Macaca fascicularis: one gene and its partners. The protein of the gene in region 7 interacts with the protein of the main gene of each other region in a pairwise test. Links are inferred from orthologs where the notes say so. Each region holds a gene or a part of one and is shown on either strand. Other genes may lie near its edges.

Region 1 (3,154 bases), on a different chromosome or scaffold from region 7:
CTGGGCTGGGAAACCCAGAGCTTCCATGGTCCCTGCCTGTACTTCCAGCAGATATCACCAATCCATCCTGTCACTGTCCCCCTGAGCACCAGGCGGCCTGGATGCTTTGCCTCTGAGCTGCAGGCTTCTGCGAGACTGGAGGAGGCCACTGCTGGAGGCAAGGAGACCCAGGGGAGGACCTGCCCAAGGTGCCACAGTGAGGCAGCGGGAGAGCCAGCCCTGGTGCCATTCTTCCCGACAGCAGGCCACCAGCCACGGGGAGAGGGAGGCCTGGCTCATCCCCCAGTAACCCACAGCCCTCTGAATACTAAGGGAGGACTCCAATAGTCCTCCCCACAGCAAGTAAGTGGTGATGGCGGAGGTGGGGTGGCTTCAGGATTTGGGTTTAATCCCAAGCACGAGGGTGGGCAGGGAAAGGATTTGGTTTCATTCCTTCAGATGCCCAAGCCTTGGCCAGAGCCCCAGGGTGCAGGAGTGAGGGCGCGTGGCCACCCAGCCTGTACCAACAAAGCCTTCCTTTATTAAATAGAGATCGCGTTACATTCCATCCAAAGAAGGAAATCCGGACGTGGTGAGGGATGTGTCCAGGTGGGCGCCCTGAACCCTGGTCCCGAGTGGGCTCTGATGGGTAGTAGGGCCCAGTCCTGCCTGCCCACCCAGGCCCCACGTGCCAGGGCGCGTGTCTGCATGGCCACCCACAGCTGAAAACAGGCGTGGGCGATCGGAAGCCCTGTCTGTGTTCTACTGTGGGAGAAACTGCCCCAATCCTTCCAGCGGTTTTGGGAGCAGGGCCTCCAGGAGCACAGGGCTGAGATGGGGTGGGAGGGAAGGTGACAAGGGAGGCCTTTATGAAGGGGGAGGGAGGAAGGGGGAAAGGAGGGGAGGGAGGGAGGGGGGGCCTGACTCATCTTAACAAGGCTTTGGGGCAGTTCTGTGCTCCGGAGGCCCTGCCAGCCCCTCCCAGCAGTCCAATAGGGAGGCCACCGGGAACAAGGCATGGGATGGCCACAAGGGGGCGCCGCTGGCCCAGGGCTTGGCAGCTGGGGCGGAGGGTACCCTGGAGATCCAGCCACCCCGAACAGTCCCCTTCTGAAGACATGCCGGCAACAAGGCACCTGCAGGCGGTTCTGGGGACTGGGGAGGGGGCGCTGGCTGCCTCAGGTGTCCCCTCCCAAGGGCTGAGGCCCCCTGAGTATGGATCCGAGCTCCCTGGTCTTTGGTGCTTTCTTGAAATCCTCCTGGTGGTGGCAGAACCCAGTGGGGAAGAGAGAGGGGTCTTGCTGTGAAGTCCAGGCCCGTCTGTCCCTCTGTCTGTCCCAGGATGGACATGTGGTGCTGGCTCAGTGCTGCCTCCATGGCCTGTCTGTCCATCCGTTCTGCCTCTGGCTCAGGGCTGGCTCCAGGCCCGTCTCCCTGTGAGTCGGCTTGTTCTGGGATGGGAGTTTGCTCTGTCTCAGAGCTCCCCTTCAGGCCTGGGCTGTGCCCTAAGCCTCCTGGGGGAAGAAGCCGAGCTTGGCCAGTGACATCTCCTTCCGCAGCCTCATGATCTCCCAGAACATGGGCTCTGCTGCAGGCAGAGAGAGGGCGGGCAGGTCAGGGGCAGCTCAGGGCCACCTCGGGCACATGGCCAGGTCCCCTCCCGTGGCTTTGAACGGGGCAGCTGGCACAGCACCCTAGGGTCCCCAGCCCCCAAAACAGATGACCTCAGCGAGTGGCTGGATCTCTCTGAGGCTCCACTCTTGAGCCTTGGAAACTGCTGCGTGTCGACCACACTCGAGGGATCTGTCTGCACCACACTGACGGCCACCCCCACAGCCCGATGCAGACACGCAGGCACACGCTGTCACATGCAACAGCGGTGGTCCAGACCTGGGAACTACATTAGACAAGGCACAGATGCCTCCCTGGGACCCTCTCACAAGGACCCTGCGCAGTGAAGGGGGGACCACAGTGGCCATCCGGGGATCTAACAGGCGTCAACACCCAGCGTGCCTTGGCCTCCAAGGGGACTTGACCCCCAGGATGGAGAGAAGACGGCTCCTTACTCAGAGGGTGGGGCCAGACTGGTTCAGAAGACTCAGCAGGGAGCAAAGTTGGTGGAGGAGCAGGGAGCCAGGCCTTGCAGAATGGGCTGTGGGGGAAGGGGGTGGAGGGAGGCCCTGTCCAGCATGGAGTAGAGTGGGATCAAAGGCTGGAGGCGGGCGAGCCTGTGTTCAGGTGACCAGGAGGAGATGGCCACACCAGGGCCAGGGAGAGATTCACAGGGGTGACCCCTTGTGCAGGACCGAGAGAGGTTTGGTGGCAGAAGAAAGACCAGCCGGACGGACTCAGGTACACAGCTCAGCACCCAGGAGGATGGTGTGAACCCTTTACTAACCCACAGCCCTCCCCGCTCCGCAGCCTCTTAGCTGAGTCTCCCCTCCACTAGGGGCAGCTGGGCCCAGAGGCCGCTTCCCCACCCAGCCCCACTCCCGTGTGCCATCCCTGCACCGGCCACCAGGGGGCGCTCACCGTCCTGCCGCACCAGGCCTTGCTGGATGTAGCGGATGTAGGTGAAGAAGTTGCACACTGCGGTGATCTGTGGGCAGAGGCGGGGACGGTGTGACCTGCCAGCCCCGCACACAGGATCCCCTGACAGGCGGATCTGAGCCCAGAGCAGGAGGCCCCAGGTCCCCGCAAAGCCAGGCAGTGCTCCCTGACTCAGCTGGGACTGGGCTTTCAAGTAGTAATCAACAACAGCATGACTAGCACCGTTATAATAACAATAGCAGCAACCATTTCATCAAGCGCCTGCAGCGAATGAAGCAGACGCGCTTATTATTCCATTTTACATGGGGGAATGCGGAACCACCTAGGGGAAGCTGCTGATATCCATCACGGAGATGGCGGAGCTAATGAACCAGCGTGCAGCAGAGCTGCGAGATGAACCGGGCAGCCTGTCCCAGAGTCTATGCTCACCCTTCTCACAGGCCGGCTTGCTCCAGATGCTGGAGGTCTGGGCCAGCCAGGCCTCAGTCCAGTGCTACTCATAACATTAGGAAAGGAAAGGGGGTCAGAAGCCGCTCACCTGGGCTGCCCGGGGCCCCTGGAGCCTCAGGCCTGCTCCATGCCAGGCCCCGGGCACCCTGTGTTGGCTCAGACACTGCTATGAGGA
Region 2 (4,095 bases), on a different chromosome or scaffold from region 7:
GGGGTAGCTGGTACCAAGGGGGTTGAGTCTGTGCCTCCGCTGCACTCTGGCCCAGGTATGTCAGGATGCCCAGAGCTTTCTCTTGCCTCTCCTGAGGGGGCCAGGAAATACAAGAGATGGGATATAATCTTTCAAGGTGTCAGGTGTGTCTCCCTGACATAGGAATCTAAGCAAACAGGTACCTAAGGCTTGTCATGAACCAGTTGTACCAGGTGCTGGGGATGGAAGACACCAACAGAGGCCAAGTTCCCCCTGGGGGGACAGTGGCAGGTAACAGCAGGGGAAGGAGGGGACAAGTGGAGCCACTTGAGTGTTCAGAGGCAGGCATCTTTGCAGAGAGACTTGAAGAGAAGCCTGAAGGGATCAAGCAAAGCAGAGGAGCCATGGGTGGGGTCAACAAGTCCAGAGACAGCAGGTGAGTGACAAGAGCTCATGTACCTGTTTTTTTTTGAGATGCAGTCTCGCTCTGTTGCCCAGGCTCGAGTGTAGTGGCACCATCTCGGCTCACTGCAACCTCTGCCTCCCAGGTTCAAGCAATCCTCCTGCCTCAGCCCCCCTAGTAGCTGGGATTACAGGCACGCACCACCATGCCCGGCTAATTTTTGTATTTTTAGTACAGACGGGGTTTTGCCATGTTTGGCCAGGCTGGTCTTGAACTCCTGACCTCAGGTGATCCATCCACCTTGGCCTCCCAATGTGCTGGGATTACAGGTGTGAGCCACCATGCACGACCAGACATACTTTTTACACTTGATCTTAGCCAAAAGGCAAGAGGCGAATGATTCGCCTTTTTTTTTTTTTTTCTTTTTTTTTTTGAGATGGGGTCTCGCTCTGTCACCCGGGCTGGAGTGCAGTGGCGCAATCTCAGCTCACTGCAACTTCCACCTCCCAGGTCAAGCGATTCTCCTGCTTCAGCCTTCAAGTAGCTGGATTACAGGCGTGCACCACCACACTTGGCTTATTTTTTTGTATTCTTAGAGATACCATGTTGACCAGGCTGGTCTTGAACTCCTGACCTCAGGTGATCCACCTGCCTCAGCCTCCCAAAGTGCTGGGATTACAGGCATGAGCCACAGCTGGCTGATTTACATTTTTAAAAGCCTATCAAGGTTTCAGACCCCTCCAGTTTTGAGAACTGAGCAGTTTGCCTGGCAGCTGGGGACCTCTAGCATCTACCTCCAAGCCCTGTGGGTGCCCAGATGGCAACACTTCTTAAGTGTCATGCTTTGGTATGGTTCTAAATTCTGTGTGTTCGTTCTCGTTTGACCTTGATCACAAGCAGTGGCTAAAGTGCCCTCTCCCCCCAACTCGATTCATGGCTCCTCTAATGAAGTGGGTGAGGCCAGCTTACTTTCTCCTGTCGCTTTTCTTCCTCGTACTCTTTATTGCCTCTGATCACTCCTTTCCCTTCCTCCAGCAGCTCCCGAAACAGGTCCACAGGGCCAGAACTTGGGGCTCCCGCCTCTGCTGCTTCAAGCTCAGGCAGTGAGTTCTGATGTCTGGCTTTCTTTCGTAGGAATTCTGTACGGGCCTGGGGAGAAAGTTATAGGCAGGGCATTCAGAACCTAGAGGTGATTCAAGAACTGTGAGTCTGGTGCCCACCACAGAAAATGGCAGTCCAGGGTGCTGGGGTTATAAGAAAGGGAGCACTAGACGCTTAAAAGAGGCACCTGTCCTAGCTGGGGGTGAGGGTAGGCAGATGAGGCAACGCCTGGGTTTTGTAAACTGCCTTTCAAATCGTAAACCACGGGTCATCAAGGATGGCTGGAAGGAGGTCCCTGGCCTAAACCAAAGGGGTTCCTAACCTCAAGTGAGACAATTAAAACAGCCATAAAGGTAGACCAAACTGCATTAGGCCAGACGATCTGAATTCTAGCCATGGCTCCAAGTCACTACCCCAAGTCGACTGCTGAAGCCCTGTCCCCCGCCTTCAGGACGCAGATTTCAAACAGCGCTCAGCAGCCTACTGAGATTCTAAAAACCCAGACTACCTCCCACCCACTGTGGAGGATCAGACTAGCTAAGGAACTGAAAGTTGGGTGTACACCAAACAGATTTAAGGAGCCATACAGAAAGCCCGTGTTTGTGTGTATGTGTCTAGGGGGCGGTGCAGGAAAGGGCTCGCCCGATGGCGTGGAGCCTGGCTGTCCCCCTCTCCTTAAATGTGCCTTCCCCTCACTGAAGCCATCTCACTCCGTGCAACGGAGATGACAGTGCCCCTCTAAGAACGAACAGTGCCTCCTGGGGATTCCGCAAGTCAGGCGCTCTGCATGTAGTTAGCATACAATAGGTGCTCAATAAATAAACTGCGCAGGCAAACTAAAAAGTGATCCGAATTTCCTTGAACTGTCCAAGCGCTCATGTATTCATTAAATGTTTTTAAGCTGCTCTTTTGTGCTAGACACTGTTCCAGCCATGTGAAATACATCAGTGGGGGGAAACTAAGACGAAGGCGAGATCAAGGGAGGTTTCGTGGAAGTGGCCACAAGGTTTGCAGAGCAACGTCCTCGAAAACGGGATCGGCGCCTGGTCCCGAATTTCACACGGGGCACACTGAGCCTGCGCAACGCTTCCGCTTCCGGCCCCCAACCGCGGCGCGTGCGCGCTGGGCTCCGGCGGTCAGCCCGGCCGGCCTCCGAGCTTACCTCTTGCTGAGCCAGCAGCGCCCTCCGCTCACGCTCCTTCTCCTCCTCCCGGGCCTGGGCCTCGTCACGCCGCACGCGGGCGACATTGTCCTTGTTCCGGACGTGCCAGCTCTTCTTGGGCAAGATATTCATGGCGTCGTAGCTGTCCAGGGACTGGCACGCCCGCCTCTTTGCACTTCCGATTGGCGAGAGGATGCCCCCCTTCCTCTTGTCCCTACTTCGACCGCAGATTGGTTCCGAATTAGTTGGTACGGCCCCCTGGCCTGTAACGACAGGTGATTGGCTGAGACGTCCTTTTCACAGCGAATGTTAGGCGTTCGGCTCGTGGTATCCCCTAGCAACCGCCTCTTATCACAGATCTGAACCAATCATAAGTTGGCCCGCCCCGATGCTACCAGATGCGGCCGTCGATTGGTCGACATGACCGTCAAGTCTCCTTGCGGAAGTGCGCTCCGCACCGACAAACATGCCCATACATTTGATTGGCTCCTGCCCTGCGGTAGCCCTGCCCCCACCTTCAGGACGCAGATTTCAAAGCGCGCTCAGCAACCTCGGCTGTATTTATTGATACAAGAAAGATCACCCGAGAGTCAGGGACGTGGCGGCGAGGGGCCCTGGAAATCTCCAGATACCAAAGCTGGAAGGGCGTGGAGTCTTCTCCAGTTCTCCTAGTTTACAGATGTTGTGACCTAGGCTTACAATGGGCCTGGGGTCTGAAAGTGGGGCGTGAGCTGCGGGGGTCAAAGAGCCGGTTCGGTGGAGGTCAGCGCCACAGCGCGCCGTGCCAGGAAGACTTTATTCTGCGCCTCCTGCGGCAAAGAGAGGTGGAGGTGTGACAGCCCTCTTCCCCAGCCCCTCTCCGTGTTCCCCGGGGGCCCTCTCAGGGACCCGCCTGGCTCACCGTCTCCCTCTGACGTTTGAGCTCAGAGATGAGGCGTCCGTAGGAGTTAGCCCGAGCCACAGTGTACGCCATCAGGATGCTGGAGGAGACAGGAACGGAAGCCACTCCTGACACGCTCTTCGAAGTCAGGGATGTGGACCCCTAAGTCCCTCCTCGTCCAGGCTCAAGGAGTTCAGTCTCCCAGCACCTCCGCGTTCAGATCCAGGAGTCCTAAGTCCCGCCCACCTCCTCCTTCGGACCCAGCAGTCCAGGAGCCTAGGCCTCCTCCCTCAGACTCAGTACATCGCCTGCTCCCACCCCCAAGCCTTTCCTCTCTTGGACGCAGGTGGTGGCCCCCAGATCACACGCATTCAAACCCAGACCCAGAAGTCTGGCCCACCTCACCTGGAGATCAGCAGAAGGGGCGCAGCAAAAGCCTGGGTCCCCAGGAAGAAGAGGAAGTTCTGGGTGGTCTCAGGGAGGCTGGAAATAGACTCAGGGATCTGGGCCCAGATGGACGACTGCCCCCGGAATGGACCACACGGCTTAGAAGGCGGGATCCTGAAGTCA
Region 3 (2,205 bases), on a different chromosome or scaffold from region 7:
AGCGGAGGCAAGATGGTTCAGTCAACTTCTTCACTACCTGGCAGCACTATAAGGTGGGCACAGGTGGGCAGAGACAGGGAAGGGGAGGGAGCCTGTTCTGGCTTCCTGACTTTCCTGCCCTGCCAGGCGGGCTTTGGGCGGCCAGACGGAGAATACTGGCTGGGCCTTGAACCCGTGTATCAGCTGACCAGCCGTGGGGACCATGAGCTGCTGGTTCTCCTGGAAGACTGGGGAGGCCGTGGAGCACGTGCCCACTATGATGGCTTCTCCCTGGAACCTGAGAGCGACCACTACCGCCTGCGGCTTGGCCAGTACCATGGTGATGCTGGAGACTCTCTTTCCTGGCACAATGACAAGCCCTTCAGCACCGTGGATAGGGACCGAGACTCTTATTCTGGTAAGGAGAACTCTTATTCTGGTGGGAGGATAGGGGAGGTGGGACTCCTGTTCTGGTGAGGGAATGAAAGGAGGTAGGGTAGGTAAGACGCCCCTCTGGTAAGTAGTAGGATAAGCAAGCTTTTATTCTGTCAAGAGAACAAAGGTCAGGACTTTTATCCTGGTGGGGGTATGGGGAGTCCAGATTCCTTCTCTGATGAGGCAAAAAAAGAATCAAGACTCCTGTTCAAGTGAAGGGCAGAGGGTGAGAGCTAGTACTCTTATCTAGAAAGGAAGTAGGTAATTTTCTTTTCTTTGATAAAGGAATGAGTGGTAGACTCCTAGTTTGCAGAAAAAGTGGGAAAGGTGTGACTCGTACTTTGGTAAGGAGATAGGGAAGGAATTAAGGCTATTACTCCGAAGAAAGTTGGGGGGCCAGGGCTCCTATTTTTTTGCTGAGGAGATGGAAGATCAGGGCTTGTATTAAATAAGAATGGGAGGGGCCAGGGGATACCTGGCAAAAGCCTTGCACTGTGAGGTGCAGGTAGAGACTTTTATTCTGGTGAGAGGACATGGACTCTCTCTCTCCCCTCAGGTAACTGTGCCCTGTACCAGCGGGGAGGCTGGTGGTACCATGCCTGTGCCCACTCCAACCTCAACGGTATGTGGCACCGCGGCGGCCACTACCGAAGCCGCTACCAGGATGGTGTCTACTGGGCTGAGTTTCGTGGTGGAGCATACTCTCTCAGGAAGGCCGCCATGCTCATTCGGCCCCTGAAGCTGTGACTCTCTGTTCCTCTGTCCCCTAGGCCCCAGGGGACATTGGTCAGCAGGAACTCAAGTTGTCCTGGCCACACCTTTGTGGCTCAGTGCCAGTGTGTCCCACAGAACCTCCCACTGTGGATCTGTGACCCTGGGTGCTGAAAATGGGCCCCAGGAATCCCCCCCTGTCAATATCTTGGCCCCAGATGGCTCCCCAAGGTCATTCATATCTCGGTTTGAGCTCATATCTTATAATAACACAAAGTAGCCACAGACCGTGTCTGGTTTGTATCTGCACCTGGCAGGGGTCACTCCCTGGGCCCGCCCTCCTCGTCCTCCACCTCTTCCTCTTCCTCCTCCTCCTCCTTCAGGTCCTCCAGGATGAGGTTGTCCAGGTCTTCCAGGAGGCCGCCCTGGCTCAAGCAGGTGGCCACAGTGGAGCCACTGCTAATGTGAGGGTTGCTGGGGTGGAGCACTTTGGGCAGGTGGTTCTGCTTCCGGCTCTTGGGGTGAGCACAGGATGTCCCAGGCACGTGGGGCTCTAGGGAGGGAGAGGTGCTGCAGACATGGGACTCCAGGTCCCATGAGAGTTTGGGCAGGAGGGGGCTGAGGCCACGAGGGGCTCTAGGGAGGGGCTGAGGCCACGAGGGGCTCTAGGGAAGAGCTGAGGCCACAATATACGGGGACCAGCACAACTGGACATTCAGGGGTGTTGAAGATACAGGAGACCTGGGGACATGGGGGGTCACCTGAGATTACAGGGGACAAAACAGGGGCCCCAAACCCAGAGACCATGGGGGCAGAGGCCATGGAGACCCTCAGGCATGGGCCACTGGGGTGAAACCTCAGAGCCTCGTGGGCAAGACCACGGAGACTGGGGGGCCATGGAGGCCACGTAGAAGCAGTGGCTGCTGCTGTGGGAGACGAAGTGGACTGAGTGGAGATTTGGGGACTTAAAGGCACAGAAGGGGACAAAGACTGCCCAGGATGTTGGAGGAGAAAAGCCTCACCTCGCCGGTTGTAGCAGTCGGCGGCCGAGCAGGAGTGAGTGTGGGTGCTGCGGCGATC
Region 4 (4,230 bases), on a different chromosome or scaffold from region 7:
AAGATGACAACCCAATTAAAAAAAAAAGGAAAAATATTTGAAAGACATTTTACAAAAGAAGATCTATGGATAGTCAATAAGCACATGAAAAGATGCTTCGTATCATCAGTCATTAGGAAAATGCAAATGAAAGCTGTAATAAGATACCACTTAAAATCCAGCCAAATGAATAAGACAGATCATCAGGAGTGTTGGTGAGGATGTGGACAAATTGGAGCCCTCATACACTCTGGTGGAAATGTAAAGTGGGAATTCACCTTGGAAAGCAGTTGTACAACACCTCAAAAAGTTACACATACAGAGTTACCATATGACAGTAATTCCACTCATAGATATACACCCAGGAAAACTGAAAACACATGTTCATACAAAAACTTGTACCCATCTTCATAGCAGCATTATTCATAATAGCTAAATACTGTACTGTATTTACTGTAATACAATTACAATTAGTACAATTAAACACTATCATTAAATACTGGAAGAAATCCAAATGTCTGTTAACTGGTACTGTTAAATAAATAAAATGTGGTCTTGCCATCGAGTGGATTATTACCTAGCAACAAAAAGGAATGAAGTAATGAGACATACTACAACATGGGTGAACCTGAAAAACATTATGCTAAGTAAAAGAAACCAGATGCAAAGGATCACATATTGTGTAATTCCATTTACATGCCCAGAAAAGGTAAATTTATAGACAGAAAGTTTTTTAGTGAGTGGGGCTGGGGATAGGAAACCAGGACTTGCCTGCAAATGGGCACAAAGTATTTTTTTAGGAAGATGAAAATTTTCTGAAATTGGAATGTGGTGATGGTTGTACAACTCTATTATATTTTCTAAAACAATCATTGAGTTATATCCTTAAATGAACCTTATAATATATAAATTATACTTCATTAAAGCTGGTAAAAAATAGGTATGAAACCGCAATGCAGTTTCATGTGTAATTCTGGTTTTTATACATCTTATGACAAGACTTTTATAAAGATGGGGCAACCATGATTCCCCAAAACAATGTGGCAGAGGTCCCCAAAAATCTTAAGAAGTAAACTCAATGCTTTCGAAGACTACAAAGAAATGCATCAAAATTTATATTATTCAGCAATGATAAGGTAAATGTATTTGGGTAAGAAGCAGGGTTACTCATCTGTGTGCCAGTATTTACAGTATGAGGCCCCTTAGCTTCTGGTCTCTGTTCTTGTAGTCATCTTAAATTGCACTGTCAGTTTTATCGTCTTCAAATATTACTTTCATAAGGTGTGCCTCCTGTTCCAGACACAGGACCAAAACCCTTGATTTTGGGAATTCTAGCTTTTCATTTTTCTCATGCTGTTTTTATAAATTTTTAACCAAAGTTTCCAAATGAACCTTCTGCTGCAGTCAGAGCCAGCTCTTCCTCGGGCTGCACATACTTGCTAACAACTCACTCACTAGTAGGGATGCCACTTCCCTTCTTTCCTCTCTGAAATTCTGCCCATTGCTCAGGCCCAAATTGAGTCTTACCCATACTGTGAAGCCTTCTCTGAATAATTCATCTCACATTGAGCTGAGCTCCTGAAGTATCTGTGCTCTACAACAGTCATCTGGGCATTAAGAACTGTTCAGAAGTTTTAGTTTAAATGTTCTGAGCCTCATTTGTCCCTGTTCTTGAGGGGCTGGATTTTATTACTTTATATTCCCCTATATAGATTAACAGAAGCAACTCAAGAAATAGTTATTCATGTTTATCTATGTTTCCTTGATAAATTCTCTTTTATATTTGTTTTAATTTAAAATGCCATTTTTGAAAATACGATGCTAGATTTCTTTTTTGAGAATTTATCCTTACATGCTGATTCTGCTTCAGGTATCTATAGTATGTTTTATTTAGCCATTAGCAGATCTGTCCCTGGATTCCCTAATCCACAGATATACACAAAATTTGGGTTCAAGCAACTCTATTTTCTCTTATATCTTTTAATAGATGCATTATCTATTATACCAGGTATGACAATATACAAAAAAAAATTCATTTAAAAATTACAATATTACTAAATGTCCTTCTAAATCCCCATTTAAGCAACAAAAACGAAGCACAGATTCTTAAAGTAGAAAATGATCTATAGTTAATCTTACTATCTTGCCTCCTTTACTTTTCAAAAATCCACTGATAATCTGGGCATGATGCTTTCAAACCTTACCCTAAAGAGAAAAATACTCTCGGAACACTTCTTCCTGCTATCTTTAAATTGTGCTTGTATTTTTCTCTGCTTTTCTTTTGACACTCAATCACTCCTTTAAAACTTGTAAAAACAACAACAACAACAACAAAAAACAAAAACAAAATCGTAAAAGTTTCTGTAACTCTCCAATCTCCAACTATGTCGTAAAATCCTTTGCCGGTTTACCCAGTCTGCTGGGGAGGCTCACCGTTTCTTTTTCGAGCGAATGACACAGTTGTCTTGGCAGCGTGACTTGCCCTTTTGGTTCCTGCTTTATCAGTTTGGTGATTCTTTGTACAGATTGATAACCATGAAAAAGTCTAAAGTAGGGCAGTTCCGGAGCAGTTTTTTCCCGTAAAGCAAGGGGGTACCTCACAAAACTCCAGGCAAAAGAATGAATGATAGGGCACTCACCAATAGCGAGTGGAGAAGAGTATTTTGTCGAAGTTTGCAAACCAATCCTTGGGAGCCAGAGGTGGGAATTTTAAAATGAGGTCTTTTCCTTGCAATTTGCTTAAAGGGGTATCGCTGCCTGTTGCTATTGAAGTTTGTCAAAGAATGTAAAATCACCAGCTTAGAGAATTTTTTCCCCCTTCGAGAGAGACAAAACGTGCAAATTGATTCTCTGCAAATTGGGAGAACTTCTAAGAGTGGGGTCATAGGATACTCTCACATATAATCACTTGGTAACTTTTGTGTCAATCTGGGGAGGAGGTGAAAGTAATTTTAACATGATTCATTTTTCATGATCAAATATCAGATACTAAATGAATGCATTGAAAAACGGTATTCCCCTTTTAAAAAAAAGAAATGAAAACTAAGAGGCTAACATTATTTTGAAAAAACTGTTCTATTGTTAATCTTCTTTCTTTTTTGGGGGGTGTACCTCTTCATATATTAGCAGCAAGTCTTATTATTTGGGTTGACCACAAAAGTATCTTTGTTTTTACACAAAATGTGGATTTCCTCATTTTAAGACCAGCAAAAAATTTGAGTGCCACGAATTCTTAAGTATTATGAAACTATCTTAGAAATACATGACATATACTGTGCTCTATACCTGAGTAGCTCTTGAAGACCAAATTTAACAGATAACTGATAAATATTTTATTATAACTCATACCTTGTTTTGAAACCAATGTTTTTTATTTAATGTAACTCTGCTTTCTAGGTTATTCATCTCTAAGAGTAATTAAGTCAGCCACTGTAAAACTGCTTCATTATAAAGTTAAGGTTCCTTGACAAGGAGCCTCGCAAATTAACAGACAGGCTTTTCACGGAACAAAAAACATCAGCGATTGCAGTAGAGGAAAATACTTTAAAACCTTCATTTCAGAAGGAAATTTGTCATATTGAGACACTTTAAAAAGTGTCTCTTAACAATGTTTCCGAACTATGCTTCCAAGCATTTTTAACAGCATAAAACTCTCTTTCTTTGATGCTATTTCGCTGACATAATTTTTGTCTTGAAGAAATACATAATGACAGCCTACTCAGTCATGCTAGGAACTGTCATTGTATTTAACTCTCTAAATTGTTCCTGTCCTTTGTAGCAATCTTTTCTCACAATAAACCTTGGGTGCTTGAAGGGCAGAGACTAGGTTACCTCCTCCTCATCTTTGTTATCTACCAGTGCGCAGTGACCCCTTAAATCTAGTGCTTAGACTCACTACTTGCTAACATTGCTTTCGTTACATAAACTCACTGGCCTGTTTTTCAACCGTCAGACTGGTGCTGTTAGTCCCTGTGTCACGGGATTGCTGTCAAGGGTTCAACGAGATAATCTATAAACAGCTCTTAGAATGAACGCTCAACGTGGGATCACTGCTGTAATCCCTCAACGTGTGCTACTGAATGAGAGGCCGAGTGACTGAATGAATGTATGAATGAAGGAACAGGCCAGTAACTGGCGGCTCCCGAGGTTGGAGCCGGCTAAATTACCCCTTCAAAACGCTAAACAAAAAGCCACTCCGTGGACATCAAACCCCACGCCGGAGCCGGAAGCAAGAGTAGAGCCGCGGGCGGG
Region 5 (3,500 bases), on a different chromosome or scaffold from region 7:
GTGATAGTTGATTCATCTGGTTATTTCCCCGACGGGAACAGAAGTTGCTGGACAGCAGGAACTGAACAGTGCCTGTTCTGGAAGCCGTGGTCCTGCAGGACCCCAGTTGCCCTCCAGAATCCAGTCTTGCTGGGCGGTTCCATGCAGAGTCCTGAGCGGCCTGAGTTGTACCAGGCGAGCCCCTCCCCACCAGAGAGGCTCCAGGATGCCCAAGCCTTGCACTCTCTCCTCCACCTCTGCTAGGAGGTCCGTTTAGGGAGACAGGCGGCCCCCCAGGCAGCACGGGTCTGTCCGAGGAGGCCGGGGGTCCTTGCAGAGGGTGCGGGCAGGGCGGGTGTCCGTGACCAGGTTCCATGTGCCTCTCTCACTTTGTGCAGGGTTTGAGTCTCCTGCAGGGCCCGCCCCATCGCCCTCTGCGCCCCCGGCACCCCCGTGGCAGGGCCGCAGCGTGGCCAGCTCCAAGCTCTGGATGTTGGAGTTCTCAGCCTTCCTGGAGCAGCAGCAGGACCCGGACACGGTAGGTCCTGGCCTGTGCCTGGCTGGCTCCCCGCCACCCCCTCTGCCTCTGTTTCTGCTTCCAGTGCTCTTGTCCCACTCCACACTGGGGCTTAATTCAAGTTCCTTGTTCCTTTATGGTCTTTCCTTCCATCCTTCCCCCGACTCCTTTCCTCCTTCACGTCACCCCCTTCCCTCTTTCCCTCCTCCCTGGCCCAGTGCCCTGTTCCTCCCTCCCTGTCCTGTGTTCCTCCCCTCCTAACCCAACCAACCCTTAGTCCAAGGTCGCTGTGGTCCCAGCCCCACCCCCACACTGTCCCAGCCTTTCCCTGGCTCTGAGAGGCAGGCAGGAAGCTGGGGAGTCTCCTGTACGTCTGCTCCACATCCTACGGGATGCCAGCCTGTCCCCTTCAGTGTCCAGTGTCCTGGGTGACCAGCGTCACCTGCAAAGATCAGAGGGGGACCTGGAGGAGGCCAGCGTGACAGGATGCCAGGGCCCTTCTCACTCTGACATCTTCAAACTTTTTTTTTTTTTCTTTTCTTGAGACAGAGACTTGCTCTGTCGCCCAGGCTGGAGTGCAGTGGTGTGATCTCAACTTACTGCAACCTCTGCCTCCTGAGTTCAAGCGATTCTCCTGCCTTAGCCTCCCGAGTAGCTGGGATTATAGGTGCCCGCCACCACACCTGGCTAATTTTTGTATTTTTAGTAGAGACTGGGTTTCACCATGTTGGCCAGGCTGGTCTTGAACTCCTAACCTCAGCTTCCCAAAGTGCTGGGATTACAGGTGTGAGCCACTGTGCCCAGCTCAAACTTCTTTTTAACTGACGACCCTGTGAACCGAATAGACTCTTAGAAGTTCAGGATGTAAAATAAAAGAAGTCTTTTACCATCTCCATTTCACTTACGGGGAAACTATGGTCCAGAAAGGCCAAGCGGCTTGCGCCGGGTCACGTGGTGGGCATGCAGAGCTGGGACTGTCTGACCGTCTGGCCTGTGCTCCGCCTCCCTCAGACCCACTCTCTCTACAGTACAACAAGCACCTGTTCGTGCACATTGGCCAGTCCAGCCCAAGCTACAGCGACCCCTACCTCGAAGCCGTGGACATCCGCCAAATCTATGACAAATTCCCGGAGAAAAAGGGTGGACTCAAGGAGCTCTTTGAACGGGGACCCTCCAATGCCTTTTTTCTCGTGAAGTTCTGGGTAAGCCTGTGATAAACTCTTCCTTCCTACCACCAGGGCGTCCGTGGTAGTGAGAATGGGGCGAGAGTACCCAGAGCGTGCCCTTGCCACAGTAGAAACTTGGGGAGGTGGCACCAGTGAGAAGGGGAGAGCAAGCCCAGCATGGCTATGGGGTGGTCAGAGCTGAGCTGAGGAACAAGGCGGTGATCCCAGAGAGCTGGCCTAGTCGAATGAAGCCTTGTCTCGTGGGTGGTGATGGCAGCTAACCCCGGCAAGACGTGGAGCCCTCAGGAGGTGAAGTTCCAGAAAAAGACAAAGGGGACCCTACGGGGATGAGTGAAGACATTATGAGGAGCGCCCTTGTCACCCAGGTCTTTGAATGACAAGTCCTGCATGGGTTTCTGGGCCTGGAGCTTGTCCTTCAGTGCTCATGTCCAAGGCATGTTGGGCTGAACAGAGCTTGGAGAAGGGGAGGGAAGTGTTGGATGGGCGAGGCCACCCCAGAAGAAACACCCACCCAACTTCTCAGATAGCTCAGCCCATAGACTTGGCCTCTGCGGCCCTCCCACCTCACCCCTGGGCAGGTGTTTTGTGGGTAGAACCCCCTCCATTAGAAACGTCTTGTCTGAGGCCCAGAGGTACAGTAGCTGCCCTGGGAGCTTAGCTTCCTGCGGGCCCAGTATGTGCAGAAAAGGGGTGCGAGGAGAGAGTCAGACAGATAAGTGCTAATGAAGCCAGCAGTGAGGAAGGACAGGAAATCAGGCTCTGTGACTGAGGGTTGGAATATTCTCAGGACATGGACTGAGGTTTTGGTGGCTCTGCCCGCATCCCTCTTCCCCACTCCCCTTCAGCTCTCTGCACACTCTTTTCTTTTTTTTTTTTGAGACGGAGTCTCGCTCTGTCGCCCAGGTTGGAGTGCAGTGGCGCGATCTCGGCTCACTGCAAGCTCCGCCTCCTGGGTTCACGGCATTCTCCTGCCTCAGCCTCCCCAGTAGCTGGGACTACAGGCGCCTGCCACCACGCCCGGCTAATTTTGTTTTGTATTTTTTTTTTTTTTTTTTTTTGGGACGGAGTGTCGCTCTGTCGCCCAGGCTGGAGTGCAGTGGCCGGATCTCAGCTCACTGCAAGCTCCGCCTCCCGGGTTTACGCCATTCTCGTGCCTCAGCCTCCCGAGTAGCTGGGACTACAGGCGCCTGCCACCTCGCCCGGCTAGTTTTTTGTATTTTTAGTAGAGACGGGGCTTCACCGTGTTAGCCAGGATGGTCTCGATCTCCTGACCTTGTGATCCGCCCGCCTCGGCCTCCCAAAGTGCTGGGATTACAGGCGCGAGCCACCACGCCCGGCCTTACACGTTCTTTTCGATGCCTCTTGTGCAGAGATTCTTACCATTTATTTGCTCCCAGGCCATTTTCCTAATCTGAAAGCTTTACTTTTCCTAGAAAGACGCGTATTCACACCAAAGTTTACATACACGTTCGGATGGCTTTGCCAGCTCCCAGTGAGCAGCCCCCAGCCTGGCTGTCACCCACAGCTGAACGTGGGGGCAGGCTGTCTCCAGAAGGGACAAGTGTTGGAACTGAGACCTATGGCCTCTGACCTTCAAGACACTTAGCGTTTGCGCTCAACTAGCAGGATGGAAGTTGGACCCCAGCCTGAGGGATGGGCATATCTGTTGGCAGAGATGGGCAAGGCTGTTGCAGCCTAGGAGTGCATGAGTAGTAAAGGCAGAAGGAAGTGAGCTCTGGAGTGAAGTTGAAGCCGTAGGTAAAGGTATGAAAGAGGGAATAAGAGGAGACAACTGGGAAAGTGAGTTACATTCTGGA
Region 6 (4,180 bases), on a different chromosome or scaffold from region 7:
CCGCAGGGACAAGGCCATTGTTGAGGGAGACGGGGCCCCAGCCCTGGGCCACGCCAACGGGGCTACAGAGGGAACCCCGGCCCTTGAAAAGGAAACCTTTGAGCTCGAAGGTCTGGATACTGCTGCCGAGGAGGCCGGGGCCATGGAAGAGGGGGTCTCCAATGGCCACTGGGAAGCCTTTGCCCCCAGGCATGGCCACAGAATCCCCAGACAGGTAGATGGAGCCCTGGCCAATGACCAGAGCCCCATGGCTGCCGGTCACAGGGAGAGAGGCCTCCTGTGAAAGAGAGGCAGGGATTGCAGGGCCCTCAGCGATGGGCACCTGGTCATTGCTGGCGCGCACAAGGGAGAAGGGGATGGCGATGACACCACCACCCTTGCCGAGGTCATCGCCGGAGGTGGGCAGCTGTTTGCCCCTGGAGACGGCGCCGGTGCCACCCCAGGCCATGGCAGGGAAGTTGCCTGTCGTGGTGTTGGTGCTCCAGGCAGGGTCTGGGGCCTTCTGAAGGAAACAGACCCCCAGCTCGCAGGCCTCACAGCAGCCCTCGTAGGCCTCCCTGGGGTGCCGGGTTGGGCCGAGGCCATCCCCGTAGCAGTCCTGCAGGATGTGCAAGACCAGCCTGCTGAGGAAGGGCCGCTCGCCTGGGGGCCTCACCTGGCAGTCCCCGGGCGCAGGGCACAGCTTGCACCGCTGGCCCCAGATGCGCATCTTCACCAGCCCCCGGCGGCCGGCCCTGTCCCACCACAGGTGGAAAAGGACATGCACGTGGGCCGAGTCCCAGGTCCCCGGACAGCGACTGCACTGGAGCCTGCGGGGGAAAGAGGTGCGTGTGAGTGCAGCAGTAAGAGACCCCAAGGCCGGGCCTCGCGCTCTGTTCTGTGGCCTCCTTGCCCATCCGACCCCAGCGCCTCGCTGCCCCCTGCCTCGCATCCCACACTCAAACCCCAAACCTCAAACCTCACCCGCCAGCCACCCAGGGCCACGGCCAAGGCGGCCCAGCACCTGCTCCTGCCTGTGCTGAGGCTCTGAAACCACCAGCCCCTTGGCCACACGGGCAAACGCAGGCCCATGCACGCTAGCTTGCAACCCCCTCATCTGGAGCGCTGTTCTCAGCAAAGCAAACCTCTCAGCAGTTTTGCAGCAAAACCCGCTCTGGCCTGGCCTCTGTGAGGTGTCGGCCACCTGCCGCCCGCGTGGCTCTGCTGGTGTTTTGTGAGTTGGGGTTAACACAGGAAGAGGCAGGCCAGCTGACACACTTAGAAGGGGAAAAGCATGCATCTGGGGGCTGTCCCTGGGGGCTCAGCAAGGGGGGTCCCTGTCCTGACTGAGAGGAGGTGATCCCCCCGTCACCTGCCAGCTGAGGGAAAGGGCGTCACTGAGGCCTGCGGTCATGGCCCAGGCAGCCCTGCTGGGCGTCGCCAGGCGAGGGGAGATTTGGGGAGAGCACTGGGAGAGATTGGCTTGTCCACAGCAGTCACCAGACCGGTGACCATTTGCTAACCACACAAGCAGCTGTGAGCTTCAGGGAACCCTGCATGAATGAGAGGCTCTGCTTCAGTTCCACGCAGTGGAACTTTCTGGATGACAGAATGTTCTATAGCCACACTGCCCCACCTGCAGCCGGCAGCCACACTGGCCACAGAGCCCGTGGACACGGTCGTGCTGGAGGAACTGAACTGCTGACTGTGTTTAAATGGGACTGAGGAGCCTGCCAAAGCCACAGGCGCTGGGGCTCATGTTGGGGCACCCGTCCTCAGTTCTCTTCCGCCAGCTGGGAGTCACTCAGAGCCATCTCCGCCTGGCTGTGGGAACGGTGATGTGCTTCCAAGCACTTCTCAGACCCCAACACGGGTTATTACTTTCCCAACTTCTGAAAAAGCTGGGATTCTACACACACCTGGCCCCAGGGGTCTCAGGCACTAAGGGGCTGTGTCCAAGGGCAGGATGACTCCCCCTTTGCCCAGGGCATCTCCACAGAGGGACTGACCAGCCGGCAGCCTGGGGGCCTGTCAGGCCGGGCGTCTGCGAGGCTGTGGAGCTGCCCTGCGCCCCTCCCGGCTGGCTCCTGGCAGAGCTGTGGATGCCTTGCCGGGTAGAGAAGCAGATGGGGCCCACCCTGTTGTGCTGACGGCACCACGACCATGACGATGGCCCGTGAGGCTCACATGTGACTCACAGCCACCCCGGGCCCCCGATCAGGGCCGAGCACCCCACCGTCTGCAGCGCAGGGCTGGATGGTGACCACAGGCACCGGCACGCCCCAGGGCCCACCTGTCAGCACAGACAGCTTCGAGGCCACGGCACTGCCATGGAAACAGGAGATAAGCCTGTGTCCACGGGCAGCGCTGGCCTGAGGAGCCGAGTGAGGGAAACCAAACCCTCCACGAGGCACCTGCCATGTCTTCCCCGGGACCCCTGCGTCAGCAGCCGTGTGCCCAGCATGGCGAGGCAGAGGCTCAGACGGGAGAAAGAAGGAGCACCCAGTCCCCCCTCCCGTCTCAGGGACAAGAAGAGGCCCGACAGCCCCACCCAGCCTCTGGGACCACCCAAAGTCCTGTGGAAAAGCACCTTCAGCCCCGTCCCTCTCCCAGGGTCCCCAGCCTCTGGCCGCACCTCGAGAGCCCCACCAGCAGGTACTGGACGCCACCGCCGTCCAGGCGTCCTGGGACCAGGCTGTGCTCAGGTAGCAGAACCCAGACGTCCTGGGGTTTCCTCTCGGCCATGGCCAGGGTGAAGGTGCTGGCCCACATGTCTGCCCCAGCCCCGTCCATGCTGCCGCCTGGCTCCGCAGTGCGGGCTGAGGGCTGCGCCCGCCGGGGGCCCAAGGAAGCATCCCTGCATCCGGCGCCGGCCAATCAGCCACCTTGACAACAGCACGGTCTCCATGGCAACCAGATTTGTCTCCAAGAAATGGGAAGCAGAAAGGAAAAATACAATACAATGCAATCTCCCATGACCCCGCCACCCAGAGAGCATCCCTGTGGCAGCAGCACCGTGGGGGCAGCAGCACCGTGGGGGCGGCAGCACCGTGGGGGGCCCGTGGACACGCAGGGGCCTCCCCAGACCTGTGCGTGTAGAGGCCCAGGTGTTTCCACACATCGCTCTAAGGAATCATCCCCAGCCCTCTCTTTCTACTGCGCACCAGGAACGGTGGCCCACACTCATCCCTTGCTGAACACTTCGTATTTTTCCAGCTTGTGGCTGTCATGTAACTTATTCACTCAGCTTCTCTCTGCAAACAGCACTAACGCTTTTCACACAAACAAAGCTGAGAAGAACTTTATAGAACGTGTATCACTGTAGATTGTCCCGTGGGTGTATTCTCTTAAACGTTTTACTAGTGAGAAATATAAAATATTTACATAAAATGCCTAAAACATAAATGCAGAGTTTCACAAATTATTCTAAAGTCTTAGTCACCACCTCCCAGAGGAAGAAAGAGAACCTCGCTCTGCCAGCCTCCAGAGCCGACTGCCTGTTCGCTCCCGATTTCAGCCCGCGGCCCCACCCCCACCCCCCACCCTCCTGGCAGAGGTGCCACCAGCCTGGCCGTGCCTGCACGGACCACGATGAGGCTTCAACACCTGTGATGCCTCCCTCACCGAGCCCTTTAGCTGTGCAGCTTCTGAGCTTCACGTAAACACCCCATGTGTGTGCCCAGCTTCTCACACCTTTTCAGGTTAGTTTGTGAGATTCAGTGGCATCGCTGTGCATGGCAGCCACCTGTCAGGGCACAACAAGAAAGGGCGAGCTGAGAAGGAGCTGGCACGTGCAGGGGCGGAGGCAGCCGGCGATCCCTACAAAAGCTCAGCACAGATCTGCCCCCGGGAGCCTCCAGGCCGCCCGGCTCTCCTCACAGCTCCCATCTCACCATCTCTCTGCTCTGCACACTGAACAATCTCTTCTCATTTTTCTACCACTTCACGCATTATCTCCTCGTCTCTGTCCACTCTGCAGCTCACGCTGGCAAGTGAGTGCATGTTGTCATAGTTTTCAAATCTGTGACATCTTCCTGCCTTGCAGGTAGGTGTGACTGCAAGATGGAAGAGGAAGCCATTAGGAAGCGCTCTGGGAAGGGGCCTCCATGCAGGGCCAGAGTGCCAGGGAAAGCCCCGTGTTCTCATTCCAGCTTCACTTTCTTCTGTCCATCAGTGCTGGGAGGATGGCCGCCCTCCAGCC
Region 7 (3,500 bases):
CCTGGAATCCCCAGCCTGAGAGGGACAGGACTCCAGTTAAATCAAGTAGGTATCGCAGAAAGTCCCTCAAGTTTATTTTAATAGGCTTTAGAGTTAAACACAAATATGCAACACAAACTGTAGGGGCAGGAAAAGGGATGTTGTGACCCCATTCATTCAACCAATCACTGCCAGGGCTGTCCCCACCCCCATCCGTTCTAACATCCAGCCAGAACCTTGTCCCAGCATGTGACGGGCAGGGGCGGGGGTGGGGGGCAGGCCGCCCATGCATCCCCCAAATGCCACAAAAAGACAGGTGGTACCTGGTGGGTCTGTCTGAGGCAGGTGCAGAGGCTGCAGCATCTGAACATGGAAATTGTCGCTCCAGCCTGGAAAGGGACAGAGGCAGACACCACGTGGAGAGAAATCTGAATTCTGATGGTGTGGGGGGTGGAAGAATCGGGGAGGAGGCACAGCAGCTGCTGCCCTATGTGTTTCTGGAGCAGTGATGGCTCAGATGAGGAGCCATACACGATGGGTGTCCATAACAAAAGAAAAAGCAAAAAAAAAAAAAAAAAAAAAAAAAAAAGAAAACACGAAGCCAGGGCCATGTGGAAATTAGCTCAAGTACCCAAGGTCAGGGTGGGTTAGGGTAAAGCTCTCACCAAAGTCCACCTAATGAGGAATTACTTAGTGCTAACAATGCTACAACTCTGACCACAGCAGCCTAACACACTGTACCACGTTCTAGCATCACACAGAAGTCGGTATTGCTGTGTAACTGCGTTTAGCAGGTGCGGCTATGTAAGCGGTTCCTAATTCGGGCAGCTAAGCTGAACCGAATGTGTGTTTGCAGGTTGTGCCTGCTACAAGAATAAATGATTGTGTACTTAGTCAATGTGGCATGATCTACTCTAATGGAATGCCCAACTCAGTATCACAGTATCATGCAGAGCCACTAAAGCAAAGAGAAATGGTGGCACTTCCATGTGGATTTACTGTGTATGTCCCCAGAAGGAGCAAGACCCTTGGAGGTTTGCTGGAGATGTACCCGAGGCCCGGAAGCTCAGCTTGGACTCAGGCTAGGGCCAGGGACCATGTCTGCCTTCATGTTGGCCACACTTGCGCCCTGGGCAAGCCGACTCCGTCCGCTGGCTGTTTCTTCCCCGCTCCATGGCTCTGGCCCCTGCAGGATCCCCTCATGGTTCTTCTCGCCTTGGGCACACTCAAAGACAGGCCTGTGCTCAGGACAATTTTGGGGGGCCTCAGGGAGAAAGTGCAGGGTCTTTGTCGCATACAGGAAACAAGCGCATCATCATCATCACCATATATGTTAAAACTACTTCTTTCTTTTGTGTATCATGCTCCTAATCTTCCACACCACTACATGAGTACTGTTCATATCCTAATTCTACCATTTTAGAGACAGATGCCAGTCCAGGAGCTGGTGGCCCCTGGCTGGCTGTTTCACTGGGCTCCTCTGTTTGGGAGAACCTTCTGGGTCTAAGATGGGCGCACGGTCAGCAGCAGCGTTGGCTGATCATCCAGCAGGAGGTGGAAGTGGGTTTCTGGGTGGTCGTGTGATGATCTAGCACAGCTCAGAACTGGTTCCCCGGGGACAGAAACGGTGTGTTTTTCTGGAAGCCCCTGCCAGAACCCCTGAGCCATCTCAGTGTGCACTGAAGGGGCTGAGTTGTAGAACCAAACTGAAGTGGGGGCTGCTATGAAATGGGGGCCTGAGGGTCCTATTTCAACGAGTTGATCATTTACGGCATCGCGTCAGAGTGAACCACATGGCAAGCTGGAGTGCCGTCCCCCTCTGTGCCTGATCAAAATACAGACCCTAGCAGCAAGTTCCTTCATGAGGATGGAGCGCGAATGGGCGCGGTCATCTGCAGGGTCATCCTCACTCTCTCTCAAAGGTTTTCCGGAGGGTGCAACCTGTTTTCCGGATTGTGCAACAATAGCTTAATGACCGAGTCTGAGATGCCATTTAGGAAAAAAGCAAAACTGTGTTTACAAGACTGTTAGAGATGAGTCACTGTCATGAGAAACGTCTGCAGAACTGTTAAACCCCCTTCGGGTTTCCCACTGCTCTCCCTCAGCCGCTCATGACAGGAGTCTCGATAATGAAAACTTGCGAATGGAATAATAGTGATCTCACATCATGTTGACTAAGAAGCTGATTGTTCCAAAGGCAGTTACCGTTCACAAATAGCTGGTGTTCGTGTTAAAGAGAGCACCACTTGGTGGTGAGTTGAAAGGCGCTTCTTCTCTGTATCTTTTTTATTTTTTTTTCCTTTTTCTATTTTGGGTAGAAATATTCCTGGGAAGCTAGATAGAAATGCATTTTCATTTCCCAATAATTCTTAGGCACAAGTTAGAAAACTGCTGACCTTCACTAAAATATGTCAGCACTTCATATTATAAAAAATGAAATTGAGAACCGCAGCATGTGTATATACGTATATCTAAATATACACACATATCGGTGCAGTACACAATGATTATTCAATGTATATTGAAAACTGAGCTTTTTGTAACTAACCTGAAATTCTGCAGTGAAAGTTCATTGCTCAAGAACAATTGCAAGTGTCTTTCTTTTGGCTCTAACTATGGTAAAACGTTTGCACATCAGACTTTACCATTTACACGTTCCTAAGTGCCGACACCAGGGCAGTCTTACACGGGGATCAGAGGAGGACGCGCCTAGGATGCATTCGCAGCTACTGAGCATGCGCACAGGGCCAGCTCCGGCGGCACCGGCTCGGTGCTCCCTCGGGGTGGAGACTGGAGGACGAGAAGCCGGAGCTCCCGCAGGCCGCGCAGTGGCGTCATCTGGGTGTTGTGCTGACTCTGGCCGGAGAGGAGGGCCCCGAGGAGGAGCCGCGGTAAACGGGAGATGTGGGCGAGAGTTTAATCGGGCTGGTTGGGTCCCCAGTTTGGAGCTTCCAAAGCAGCTCTTCGTTGGTTCGGCTCAATCTCTTCTTCTCCTGGGTTTCCTTCTCAACATACTCCTGGAGGTTAGCGTTTTCCTCCGACAGTTGTCTGCACGGGCACAATGACAAAACAAGTAGCAATCATGCTAGTGGACACCGAACCTGAGGTCACGACAATGGGTGCAGGACAAAGGGAGGAGGCCATGATGCCATCAGGGAGAACAGGGACCAGGGCGACCCAGTGACCAAGAACTTTGGTGGAGTCATGATTTCCATTTAGCCCAATGACACACCTGTTCCCAGAGCCTCTCTGGCCAACAGCCATCATCTCACAGGCCCTCTGCCTGGTCAGCGGGGGCACTGGCTGTCCACTGGACAGAGCAAAGGCCAGCGACTGAAAGGAGGGAAGTGGAGAGCTGGAGTGGGTGTGCTGCCAGGGGCTCCCAAAGGAGAGACAGCCGCGGAGCTGGCAATTCACAATGACAACAGCACAAGAGCAGCGACGAGCCGCAGGCCTTCCTGAGCCTGCCGGGAAGCTGGGGGGGCCTTCTCCTGGCCTCCCTGCCCTAGGCTTGTGCCTGC

Evidence for each region.
Region 1: the proteins of MTUS2 (region 7) and RAB3IL1 interact in binary tests that used the Homo sapiens proteins (3 or more experiments, as listed by UniProt). The two-hybrid records come from large-scale screens. The link is inferred for Macaca fascicularis from reciprocal best matches to the Homo sapiens genes MTUS2 and RAB3IL1.
Region 2: the proteins of MTUS2 (region 7) and LENG1 interact in binary tests that used the Homo sapiens proteins (3 or more experiments, as listed by UniProt). The two-hybrid records come from large-scale screens. The link is inferred for Macaca fascicularis from reciprocal best matches to the Homo sapiens genes MTUS2 and LENG1.
Region 3: the proteins of MTUS2 (region 7) and SHFL interact in binary tests that used the Homo sapiens proteins (3 or more experiments, as listed by UniProt). The two-hybrid records come from large-scale screens. The link is inferred for Macaca fascicularis from reciprocal best matches to the Homo sapiens genes MTUS2 and SHFL.
Region 4: the proteins of MTUS2 (region 7) and TTC23 interact in binary tests that used the Homo sapiens proteins (3 or more experiments, as listed by UniProt). The link is inferred for Macaca fascicularis from reciprocal best matches to the Homo sapiens genes MTUS2 and TTC23.
Region 5: the proteins of MTUS2 (region 7) and TEAD4 interact in binary tests that used the Homo sapiens proteins (3 or more experiments, as listed by UniProt). The link is inferred for Macaca fascicularis from reciprocal best matches to the Homo sapiens genes MTUS2 and TEAD4.
Region 6: the proteins of MTUS2 (region 7) and RTP5 interact in binary tests that used the Homo sapiens proteins (3 or more experiments, as listed by UniProt). The two-hybrid records come from large-scale screens. The link is inferred for Macaca fascicularis from reciprocal best matches to the Homo sapiens genes MTUS2 and RTP5.

The regions. Positions count from the first base shown.
Region 1 is NC_088388.1:12,084,769-12,087,922, reverse strand, and holds the end of RAB3IL1 (guanine nucleotide exchange factor for Rab-3A), read right to left. Parts: intron 2,579-3,154; coding exon 2,512-2,578; intron 1,568-2,511; coding exon 1,485-1,567; 3' UTR 501-1,484; downstream 1-500. UniProt on the Homo sapiens protein: Guanine nucleotide exchange factor (GEF) which may activate RAB3A, a GTPase that regulates synaptic vesicle exocytosis. Promotes the exchange of GDP to GTP, converting inactive GDP-bound Rab proteins into their active GTP-bound form.
Region 2 is NC_088393.1:61,962,034-61,966,128, forward strand, and holds the start of LENG1 (leukocyte receptor cluster member 1), read right to left. Parts: upstream 2,801-4,095; 5' UTR 2,778-2,800; coding exon 2,646-2,777; intron 1,532-2,645; coding exon 1,352-1,531; intron 596-1,351; exon of another isoform or gene 499-595; coding exon of another isoform or gene 439-498; intron 355-438; coding exon of another isoform or gene 193-354; exon of another isoform or gene 183-192; intron 92-182; coding exon 1-91. Other genes in the region: voltage-gated chloride channel TMC4, read right to left, coding at 3,386-3,454, 3,547-3,625, 3,931-4,086.
Region 3 is NC_088393.1:10,638,155-10,640,359, reverse strand, and holds the end of SHFL (shiftless antiviral inhibitor of ribosomal frameshifting protein), read right to left. Parts: coding exon 2,148-2,205; intron 1,679-2,147; coding exon 1,446-1,678; 3' UTR 1,162-1,445; coding exon of another isoform or gene 971-1,161; 3' UTR 501-970; downstream 1-500. Other genes in the region: ANGPTL6 (angiopoietin-related protein 6), read left to right, coding at 1-53, 127-397, 971-1,161.
Region 4 is NC_088381.1:84,144,450-84,148,679, forward strand, and holds the start of TTC23 (tetratricopeptide repeat protein 23), read right to left. Parts: upstream 2,801-4,230; 5' UTR 2,619-2,800; intron 2,579-2,618; exon of another isoform or gene 2,184-2,578; intron 1-2,183. UniProt on the Homo sapiens protein: Participates positively in the ciliary Hedgehog (Hh) signaling.
Region 5 is NC_088385.1:3,905,657-3,909,156, forward strand, and holds part of TEAD4 (transcriptional enhancer factor TEF-3), read left to right. Parts: intron 1-377; coding exon 378-517; intron 518-1,524; coding exon 1,525-1,698; intron 1,699-3,500. UniProt on the Homo sapiens protein: Transcription factor which plays a key role in the Hippo signaling pathway, a pathway involved in organ size control and tumor suppression by restricting proliferation and promoting apoptosis.
Region 6 is NC_088386.1:137,802,071-137,806,250, reverse strand, and holds the start of RTP5 (receptor-transporting protein 5), read right to left. Parts: upstream 2,801-4,180; 5' UTR 2,773-2,800; coding exon 2,615-2,772; intron 810-2,614; coding exon 1-809.
Region 7 is NC_088391.1:9,338,526-9,342,025, reverse strand, and holds the end of MTUS2 (microtubule-associated tumor suppressor candidate 2), read right to left. Parts: intron 3,028-3,500; coding exon 2,814-3,027; 3' UTR 53-2,813; downstream 1-52. UniProt on the Homo sapiens protein: Binds microtubules. Together with MAPRE1 may target the microtubule depolymerase KIF2C to the plus-end of microtubules. May regulate the dynamics of microtubules at their growing distal tip.